3 linked regions of the Oryctolagus cuniculus genome follow. The protein of the gene in region 1 interacts with the protein of each later gene in a biochemical or structural test. Links are inferred from orthologs where the notes say so. Each region holds a gene or a part of one and is shown in the gene's direction. Other genes may lie near its edges.

Evidence for each region. The genes of interacting proteins can lie anywhere in the genome.
Region 2: the proteins of NF2 (region 1) and CD44 form a complex in vitro, tested with the Homo sapiens proteins (2 studies listed by BioGRID, with this or other methods). The link is inferred for Oryctolagus cuniculus from reciprocal best matches to the Homo sapiens genes NF2 and CD44.
Region 3: the proteins of NF2 (region 1) and DCAF1 form a complex in vitro, tested with the Homo sapiens proteins (3 studies listed by BioGRID, with this or other methods). The link is inferred for Oryctolagus cuniculus from reciprocal best matches to the Homo sapiens genes NF2 and DCAF1.

Annotation. Positions count from the first base shown.
Region 1 is NC_091452.1:23,024,479-23,028,045, forward strand, and holds part of NF2 (merlin), read left to right. Parts: intron 1-1,078; coding exon 1,079-1,201; intron 1,202-2,757; coding exon 2,758-2,975; intron 2,976-3,567. UniProt on the Homo sapiens protein: Probable regulator of the Hippo/SWH (Sav/Wts/Hpo) signaling pathway, a signaling pathway that plays a pivotal role in tumor suppression by restricting proliferation and promoting apoptosis.
Region 2 is NC_091432.1:30,785,844-30,789,410, reverse strand, and holds part of CD44 (CD44 antigen), read left to right. Parts: intron 1-43; coding exon of another isoform or gene 44-51; coding exon 52-180; intron 181-2,969; coding exon 2,970-3,071; intron 3,072-3,567. UniProt on the Homo sapiens protein: Cell-surface receptor that plays a role in cell-cell interactions, cell adhesion and migration, helping them to sense and respond to changes in the tissue microenvironment.
Region 3 is NC_091441.1:98,112,367-98,115,933, forward strand, and holds part of DCAF1 (DDB1- and CUL4-associated factor 1), read left to right. Parts: intron 1-191; coding exon 192-704; intron 705-1,006; coding exon 1,007-1,108; intron 1,109-3,567. UniProt on the Homo sapiens protein: Acts both as a substrate recognition component of E3 ubiquitin-protein ligase complexes and as an atypical serine/threonine-protein kinase, playing key roles in various processes such as cell cycle, telomerase regulation and histone modification.

The DNA of each region.
Region 1 (3,567 bases):
TGGGAGATAGAATCGGCCTTATGGAAATTGTAACATGATGGAAATTTAGAGAACAAATTGGCCCAGCTTCTCATTGACCTGCGAGAAGAAAATTGGAGAACTTACAGTGCAGTGTTTTATTGCTTGTCATTGCATTATTCTTTCAAGTTCCAATGCATTTTTTTTTTCCTTTTGGCTTAGTATTTAGAAAAAGCGGCAGTCTTAGAAATCTTATGCTACTAGAGCTTGGGATAAGACTGAAGCAAGAATAAGTAATTAAATGTGCTTTAATTATTTAAGGCAGAAAATAGCACAGTGGTCACTTCTGGCTTCTGCTCTTGGAATGCAGTTAGTACCCCAGGATCACAGAGAACGGAGCTGTCCTATGCTTGTTCCCTTATTAAGCTCAGCATGTGGCCCAATTAACACGGTGATCCAGAAGGCAGCTTTGTGCTGTGCCTTAAGGACAGGGGGGCTGAGTTCCCCGCCTGGCTCGGGAGTTGCCTCCGCATGGGGCTGAGCGAGTCTGGACTGCAGCTGCCCCCTGTGAAATCCAGTGTGTGTGCCCTGTGAATGCATCACACATAGTGCTTCCCTCTTCCGTGAGTCCAGGCAAGAGCAGAGCTCTTGTTGATGAAACCAGAAATGCGGGAAGGGTCTGTGTGGGTTCGAAGTGGGTGAGTGGCCCATCTGACCAGAGGAACCAGCTGCCTCTTTCTGGGGCTTTGTCTCAGGGAGCAGGGACCTGTGTTTATCCTGTCAGCCACAGGGCAGAGTGGGGTGAGGTCTCCTAGCGAAAAAGGGACACGGACAAGGTAGCTATCTCGTACACCTCACGTCAGGATGCTGCCTCCTAGCCAGGTAGGAACTGGGCTTGGGCGCTTTCTGTGGATTCATTCACTAGCATTTTTTTCATGGGGCACCGCTCTTAACTCCGCAGCTGGCTTAGAAAGACAGAGGGTGGTGGGCAGCAGGAATGACCCTGGCTACTTACAATAAAGGGAAGAAAAAGATCACCAAAGAGGAGGTTCTGGAGGTGGGGTGTTCTTGGATTCCTAGAGCCCCATCACTCGGTGCCGCTCTTGTTCCCCCACCCCAGATGGAGCGGCAGCGCCTTGCGCGGGAGAAGCAGATGAGGGAGGAGGCCGAACGCACAAGGGACGAGCTGGAGAGGAGGCTGCTGCAGATGAAGGAGGAAGCAACGATGGCCAATGAGGCCCTGGTGAGTTCCAAGGTTCTGCAGGGGACTTCCCGCTCTCCCGGGGCTCCGCCCACAGAGACCCGGAGTGAGAGCCTCCTCTGAGCTTTCAAAGAAATCCACGCCTTCCCTTTCTACCTGTGTTGGCAGAAGCCGACTTAGGTTGGGTTCATGTGCCGTGCATGAGGTTGTCCTTAAAGGGAGGTTTCTCGGCCTCTGTACCACTGTTTGGGGCTGTTCGTTCTGGGTCATGGGGCCTGAACTCTGCCAGATACCAGTGACACCTCCCTCCTCTCCTTCCTTTTGCAACAATCAAAAATGTCTCCAGGAACCTGGATGGAGTGCCAGACTCCTGGCTTTGGCCTGGCCCAGCCCCAGCCATTGCAGCCATTTGGGGAGTGAACCAGCAAATGGAAGACACCCCTCTCTCCCTCTCTGTAACTACCTTTCAAAATATAAGTAAATAAATTTTCTTTTGTTAATGTCTGCAGGAGGACAGGCATTGGCCTAGCAGTTAAGATGCCCACATCCCAGCCCTGGCTTCTGGCTCCAGCTTCCTGCTCATACAGACCCTGGAGGCAGTGGCAATGGGCCAAGTAGTTGGGTTCCAGCCACCAGTGTGGGAGACCTGCATTGTTTCCAGCTTTACCCAGCCTAGCACCAGCTATTCCAGGCATTTGGAGAGTGAACCCTCTCCTCTCCCTCTCTTCCTCTCTCCCCCTCTCCCACTCTCCTGTCGCTCCCCCTCTTCGTGGAGGAACGACACTAAGCCCTGCCTAGGCTTCATATCCGAGTCACGGCACCATTATGTCGCTCCCCCTCTTCATGGAGGAACGACACTAAACCCTGCCTAAGCTTCATATCCGAGTCACGGCACCATTATGTCGCTCCCCCTCTTCGTGGAGGAACGACACTAGACCCTGCGCTGTTCTTTCGTCTGCTCGGCCCTCCCCGGGTTTACTGCTGGTTCTTCCCGGGTTGGCTACTGTCCCTTCCACCTCCGTGGAAGGGCGGTTCCCCCTGGCCACATTCCCCACTTCTGCAGGGGAGCAGCACACCGCCGGCCGGCTCTCTCGGGGGCTGCACAAGTGTTCCCTTAGATGTTCCTGGTGCATGCCGTCTCTCTCCTCCTTTATAGTCCTCCTCCGCCAATCCCAACTCGGCTGCCCACACGCCGAGTACGCTGCTCTCCTCCAATCAGGAGCAAGTCCTACAGTTTATTGGCTGAACTGGAGGCAGCTGTGTAGAAGCTGTTTTCTTCTCTCCCAGCGCCATATTGTGGGAGAGCAGATGCACAGAATAAGTCCTAATTCCAGTAACAGTATAGTCCGAGTTGCTCCCCACACTCTCCCTGTCATAATGCATAAGACTCAGCTGGAGTAGGGGCTGTAGAATGGCCCTCTTTGTTGTCGCTCCCATGGATTGAGACGTTGGGGGCATGACCTGTCATCTGTTGCCCACAGGCTGCTGGGTCCCCCGAGTCCCAGCTTCAGGTTCTTGCTAAATGACGGCCAGAGGCTGGGTCTGGGTAGAGGATGGGTAGTGACTCCCACTCTCACTGAGGGGCACATTCTCACCAGATGCGGTCCGAGGAGACAGCTGACCTGTTGGCTGAAAAGGCCCAGATCACGGAGGAGGAGGCTAAACTCTTGGCACAGAAGGCCGCCGAGGCTGAGCAGGAGATGCAGCGCATCAAGGCCACGGCCATTAGGACAGAGGAGGAAAAGCGCCTGATGGAGCAGAAGGTGCTAGAGGCCGAGGTGCTGGCGCTGAAGATGGCGGAGGAGTCAGAGCGGAGGTGAGGTCACGGGGTCAGGGGTCGTGGGTGCTGGGGCCCAGCAAGGTGCTGCCCCTGCTGAGGCCAAACTCTCCAGCAACTGTGCCCAAGCTGCATCTGTGTCTGACAGATGAGCAGGGCCTGGCGCTGTTTGGAGGGCACTGAAACACTTCTCTTGCCCAGTGGGCCTCCCTGGTCACGCTGCTGCCTCTCTGATAGGCCGTGTGTGCCGAGCCATTGAGCATGCCACAGGCTGCTTTTAGCTGGAGAGATATGAGGAGACTCTTTGCATTAATAAAAAGAGAGAGAAAAGAAAGAAAAAATGGTTCCTTTCCCTTTTCCTCTGGGAAGGACTCGGGAAAGGCACGGTGCTCAGGCTCCGGGGGACAGTGGGCCCCGCTTCCCTGCGGCTTCCTTGGCAGGGTCCTCTTTGGGGCTGCTGTCTGTTCTTCTGAGAGATGTTCCAGGCCCTGGCTTGTTCTGGGCCTGCCAGGCTGCAGATACACACTGGCGCAATTCCCCACAGCATCTGGCTCTGTGGATTTAGAACATTTGCATTTGGCCCTCAGCTCCCAAGGTGCAGTCACTACCATTTTCCTCACCATTCTGTGCC
Region 2 (3,567 bases), on another chromosome or scaffold:
ATTCCTGGCACGTGTCAATTAACAATTACTTGAATTGCATGACCACAACAGCCTCAGCCCACAACAGCCATCCCAGTCCAAAAACAACAACAGAGAGTCAATGGGACAGTTCCTGGACTGATTTCTTCGACCCAGTTTCACATCCAATGGGACAAGATCATCCAGCAGAGAGAAGCATGGGTAATAACCTCTGAGCATTTTATGTACTATGTTTCTGAAATCTGCTATTTTCCTAGAAATAGATCAATCTACTTTCCTAAGGAACTTGGTTTCCTCAAAAATTACTCTTGCTAGAAGTGATATGCAAATTCATCTGAATATGAAGTGCTGGGCTGAAAGTGAAGAATTTGACAGGAGAATTAAGAACTAGACCTAGCTCCTAGGCGTGAAAGTCATTTCTTTGGAAAAAGCAGCATTCTCAAGACATCTTTGTAATTTACTGCTGACTACAGAGCAAAGCAGTGATTCAGTGCTGATTTCCATTGATACATTGCTTTTGGTAGAGAAATCTGAGAGGTCAAAACTTGATGAGTAATTATGCCAAACAAGTAATGCAGAGGCTCAGAAAACATTATTATTTACTCTTCACACATTTAGAGATAGTACCCAGTGATTTAGGATTTACACCACTCTTGGCCCTCAATAAATGTGAATTTAATGGATGGACAAGTTTTACACAAGATGAAATTCCTGTCTTCTTAAATATCATTCTATCCTATTTCTCTATGAAGAATTTTTAAAAAGGATAGTAAAAAGGATACCAGTTATAGTTTTGCAAGAATTAAGTTTTTTTTATTTTATTTCACCAATTTTTATGTTTCAAAGGAATTTTCCTTTATGAAAATAGGCAACAGCTTACTTGAGATAATCTTCAAAATTTGGCAGTAAGTTGTAGCCATCCTTTCTTAATCTTTAATAAGTTGAATGATTCATGTTCCTTACCATACCAATGAATAGAGTCACTTGAGTTCTATTTATTTTTAGCAAAATGCAAGTATTACACAAAAATGTAACATTCCCAAAAGGAAGATAAATCATTCTAACCAATATGGGAATGGGAGTTTTCAGTCATGGAACTGAATATGCTATTTAGACCCAAATCGTCAAATATGTATAACACAATCCTTATTGAAATGAATTTCAAGAGCACATAACGCTGGGTATTAAGTAACCTCACAATCATCTCCAAAGTGAATCCAACAAATTTGCAGTTTCATTTCTTTGGAACTATGTGCTACCCAAATACTAGTGATGTGATATACCTTAAACTACAATATATATTAATTCTCTTCTAATATGCAAGGCATTTTGGTAACACAGAGATGTACAATTCATGGCCCATGCTCTCAAAGAACTTAAAATTTAACTGGCAAATGAAAATATTTAGCATTCAAATATACTTGACAAACTGAGTCAGTAAGTAACAGATGTGAATGTTGGCAACAAAAATACTAAAGAAATTCAGAGGCCCCCACCCTTCTCCAAAGAGCATCAGAGAAAGGTAGATTGAATCTAATGTTTTGGAAAAAAACCTGAATAGATAGAGAAAGCAAGTGTGGGGAAAGGTTTTCTAGGAAGAAGACTTGCATAAGGAAAGGCATGAGAGAAGAAAAGGCAAACAATGAGTAAGTCTAAGTGGGTGGATCTGTTTGCCACAAAAGTAGATGCCTTTGCCTGGCTAGGTTAGGATACATTACACTGAGTGGCTGAAATGACACTCACAGACCCAGTACACATGTATATGTACCTGGCTACTGGGAGCTCTAATGACATCCAGGGTAGAAAACTAAGTCAGTAAAAGAGCTTTAGAATCAGTAATAAATCTTCACATTGATGAAGAGAAGGAGAGTCTGCTAAATGAATGACTATGTCAAAGGCAATGCAATTGGCTTCAACTCTAGGATGTAAGAATTCCACTAGATGTGAAGATGAGCAAATATGTCATCCACACGTAGAATTCTCTCTGGGAGAATATTCATTTGTGATTTTGATTTGGGTGATCTTACCTCTCTTCGTTTTTGAAATCAGATAGTACAATCAGTTATTTTTATCTTCCAAAGATCTCATTTCTCTCTTCTTTTAGCATGTGCAAGCTGTCATGCTGATGTGGGCATCCCATATTCCAGTAATATCTTCTGGGGTCATTTGGAACAGATTAAATATCCCCAGAGGGAGTAGAGTGGGTGGACTTTGAATTGGAGAGCCAGAAGTATTGATGGTGTTTATGAGTTGCCTGGCCTCTATTTCACTAGACTAGAGCTGTGATAACTATTAAAAGCACATTTATAAATATTTCAGTGAAATTTCTGCACCACTCAGCATTGTGTTAAATTCCAAAGATGCCTCATAGTTGTGTTTGTGGAAAGAATGATTCAGTGGCATCAACCGCTTATGATTTCTTGCCCCTATGTACTTCCTGGGGCCTCCAACTGGGTGGCATGGGATGACGATTTTGTGTTTTTATTTGCATGTTGACTTTATGACATGAAAAGAAACTAAAAGAGACAAAGGCTATTAACACAAAAGGTCTTAAGCCTTATTAACACGAAAGGTCTTAAGGGGGAAGTGACAAAATTGTCCATGTGTACCTGTGTACCTTGTCTTTTCTCCATGTGTCCCATTACATATGTCTTTAAGAAAGGCCATGTGTGTGGAATGGAGCAAGTCAGAGAAGAGCTATGTTTCTGTCTCTTGGCAAAGCTTGAGAGTTTCATCATGTGCTCATGTAAGGTTTTTCTAGATTGAAAAAACACAAACAAAAATCATAGCTTTCCTACAGTGCACCTTAGATGAAAGCCAGTTACCTCTTGTCACTGTTTTGAAGAAAGCAGTGAAGACCTGAACTAGTGCATGCTTTCATTCCTCTTATCCAGGTTGGACTATAAAAATAATTCAGCTGTGGGCTATAAACCACTCTCACAGGTAGTGCTTTGGGAAATCAGGTAATAACACTGATTTAATTCCTTCAGATATGGACTCCAGTCTCAGTACAATGCCTCAGCCCACTTCAGATCCAAACACAGGTTTGGTGGAAGACCTGGACAGGACGGGACCTCTTTCAATGACAACTCGTAAGAATGATGGCATCTCCCTTTATTGACCTGTCTTCCTGTGTGAACTCCTGACCAAGCTTGGTGGTGGAATGGTGCCTTTCTTGCCATGTGGCTCAGCTCAGCCCAGAGTATAAATCCGTCTTCAGTGCCTGTATTCTTGTGGTGTTCCTTAAACCTGATTTCACCTTCATTCTTGGTGCCTTCGAGATTCAATGACTTTATGATTTTTCAGAAAGGGAAGAAGGAGTAGGGGACTCTATTCAACTTGATTACTCTAAGTAGTTATGTCTGTGAAACTCAAGAGCACAGGTGAGATGATGGTTTCTCTATGTTTAAATTGGCCATCTCTTTTTTATTTCCTTTTTTCTCTCCACTTAAGGCAGGACAAGGATAGGATTGCTTTGATGGTTGTGAAAAAGACATTTTTGGAGCCATATAATCACAGAGAATAGGGAAATACCATCAGTCTACAGAGAAGTCATGTTGTTGACAATTGACTAAGGTGGCAAGGTCC
Region 3 (3,567 bases), on another chromosome or scaffold:
AGAACTTTGAGGCTGCTGTTTATTTCACCAAATTATAGAACCCAAGTCAGTATATTTATCAAATCTAATACTAGACACTGGACTAATGCATGAGTATCCACTTCTCCTTAAGTGGAAATAAGAATTATTATTGAGTCACTTATGTGAAGATTCGTGAGAAATAACTCCTTTTATTCTGTATCTGCTGATAGGTGGCTATAGTGCTTCGAAGGTTGAGGGAGCTACAGCTTCAGGAAGTGGCTTCGCGGCTAGAAAGCAAACGTCCCAGCCCACGGAAGCTCTCTTCTGAGCCCCTTCTGCCTCTGGATGAGGAAGCTGTGGATATGGACTATGGTGACATGACGGGAGATGCAGTGGATGGAGAACAAGAGGAAGCTTCTGGAGACGTGGAGATCTCCTTTCATCTTGATTCAAGCCACAAGACCAGTAGTAGAGTGAATTCAGTAACCAAACCTGAGGAAGGAGGACTGAAGAAAAACAAGTCAGCAAAACAGGGTGATAGAGAGAACTTTAGGAAAGCCAAGCAGAAGTTGGGGTTCTCCTCTTCGGATCCAGATCGCGTGTTTGTTGAGCTGTCTAATAGCAGCTGGTCAGAAATGTCCCCCTGGGTGATTGGGACCAATTACACCCTTTATCCTATGACTCCTGCTATTGAGCAGCGCCTCATTCTTCAGTATTTGACCCCTCTAGGAGAGTATCAGGAGGTAAGCTAATTGGGAAGAGTGCTGTTCTCACTTCAGGACTACTTTATATCTAGTAAATTTTATACATTAATATGTTCTTACTCTACACAGAAAAGTCTTTGCTTCAAACTGGTAAAGTATCATGCAGATCACTTCTGCTAAGATCTGTTTGACCAGAATGGGTTTATATGTTGTTCTTCATAAGGTAGAAGGGGAGAAGGGGTGAGATGTTTCATTTTTTTAATCCTCCTTTGTCATAAGGGAATAGGAAATAAGTAAAAATCAAGTCAAAATTTGAGGCTTGGTTTTGGTTTTCATTTCAGTTACTTCCCATATTCATGCAACTTGGATCACGAGAATTGATGATGTTCTATATTGACCTGAAACAGACTAATGATGTCCTGCTTACGTTTGAGGCCCTCAAGGTAAAGTTCTTAAAATTTTCATTCATTGAATATTTTATTGACAGAGAAACACTTTAACGTGTTTTGGGATATAGCATCCCTGGTTTTTATTGCTGAGGGCATTTCTGTTGCTAGATGTGTCAGAATAGAACAGATTAGATAGAAGTGATGAAGCTTACTGAGTGTCTGCATGGGAATTTAGGGGTCAAGCCTAGAGGGTTGAATGTTGAGGTACAAAGGAAGTCTAGACCTAGGAGTGGCCTCCATTATTGCTGAATAGAAATGGAAAATTACATATACATAGAGCATACAACACTTTTTCTAAATTTTTAACTATATGTGTATTGTACAATGTTAGAGTATCCAGAGAAAACAATATAAACCAGGAAATTAATAAAGAAATAGGGACATCCAAACTCAGGAAGGGCAAATGATTTCGTAGGTTGCAAAGGGGCTAAATGTGGGAAGACAGCTAAATCTAGCTCATCAAGAGAGAATTGAGAGAATTAAGCTGATAAATAATATTGTGACTCTCAGACAGTTCTGTCCAACAGGTAGCTATTGAACAAGGCACTATTGAAATGTGAGTCATTAATAGTACTCCTTAAGATATATAACACGAACAACAGTCCAAGAGAAAATAATGGTGTCATTTATAACATACGTTGACAGTATCATTTACAATACATGCTTCCTTACAAAGTATTGATTTGGGATGCCAGTGTTGCAAGTGGTAGCTTCACCCATTGTGTCTCAGTGCCTGCTCCTAACTTGGTAAACGTTGTTGAGTGCCTTTTATGGGCCAAGTACTGTGTTCAAATTTTAGAGATGCAAAGAGGCTGAGGAAGGAAGGAAGGAAGGAGGGAGGGAGGGGGGATGGGAGGAGGGAGGAAAGGAAGAAGGAAGGAAAGAGGGAAGGAAGGAAGGAAGGGAAAGAGGGAAGGAAGGAAGGGAAAGAGGGAAGGAAGGAAGGGAAAGAGGGAAGGAGGGAGGTAGCAAGTGAGCAAGGAAATCTTTACAAACCTTTCTGGTTTGGTTAAGGCAGACATGTCAGCCTGTAATTTCTTTTCAGTGTTACCAGTGTTAGGATAAAAGAAGGGAGTTGTCTTCTTTTCCTGAGACATGATAGTTTGCAGAGAAGACTTCATAGGAGAGAAAATGCTCTCACTGGATCTTTTAAGGTTTCTTTATTTGAAAAGTAGAGTGTGAGAGAGAAAGAGAGCTATTTCTATCTGCTGGTTCACTCCCCAAATGGCTGCAACAGCCAGGGTTGGGCCAGGCCAAACCTGGGAGCCAAGAGTTTCTTTCAAGTCTCCCATGTAGGTGCAGGGGCCCAAGCACTCAGGCCATCCTCCACTGCCTTCAAAGTGTATCAGCAGAAAGCTGGATTGGAAGTGGAGGAGCTGGGATTCAAACTGGTGCCTAGAGGAGATGTGGACACTGCAGGCAGAGGTTTAACCTATGCCACAGTGCTGACCACAGTACAGTAGCTTCTAAGCCATATGTGACTTTGAAGTACCTGAAATGTAGCTAGTGCATTTGAACTTTTTATTTAATTTTAATTACTGTTAGTGAAATTAGTCACATGTGTTGACTATTGCACTGAACAGTACAGTTTTAGAATTTATTGAAATGCAGTAGAAATGAGGAAATATGTCTTTGATACCCCAGAAATCTTAAATTTGAAGGTGGTCAGGCATAATTGGTTTAGCTGCTTCTTGGGGAAGGACTAGGTCAAAGAGTAAAAGGCTGTGTTAGACCAAAAAATACGAGGGAAGGGACATGAATTGTGTATGAGGATCAGCCAGAGTCTGGGTTTAGAGAGAAATTCTAAAGAGGGTATTTACCTGCTGTTTTTGCCATTGAACTTGGAGAGATCTGTATGGCTATCAAACCATGTGATTGCAAATCTTTGTTGTTTGTCCCTGGAAGACACCTTGGCATGGGACACAGGAAGAATGGCTCTAGCTCTCCTGGGGGCCTGTCCTCATTGGCCTGGGTTCAGAGTCATTTTGTGTTATACATTAAAGTGGTGCAGGAGATTAGGTCCACCCAAAGAAACTAGTGGGAATTAAATGGGAAGTTAGCAAAACATAGAAAACTTTTAAGGATATATTTAAAATGCATTGATTAGTTTTTAAAGTTTACTACTTTTGAAAAATTTGTTCAAGATTGTTCTTTGGAAATATATTGAGAATCAATTTAAAAGAAGGCAAATTTTGAGGTTTCATTAACTGACCCAAAGCTAGAACATAGAGCTGATTATAATAGAGAGGGTTAGCAGCAGTTCATTTGGGGAAGCTAAGTACTAATAAAATCACAGCAGTATTTTTCATTTCTTGGTTTTTTACCTTCTTTGAAACTGTTGGAATCTTAATTGTTAGATGCTTTTTGTCTAACCAATATTGGCTTTGTTCTTTTGTAAGGAGGTAGTTGTCTACTTAGAGAACTCTTGCATTTAGCAGCTTAATATTGTGTCA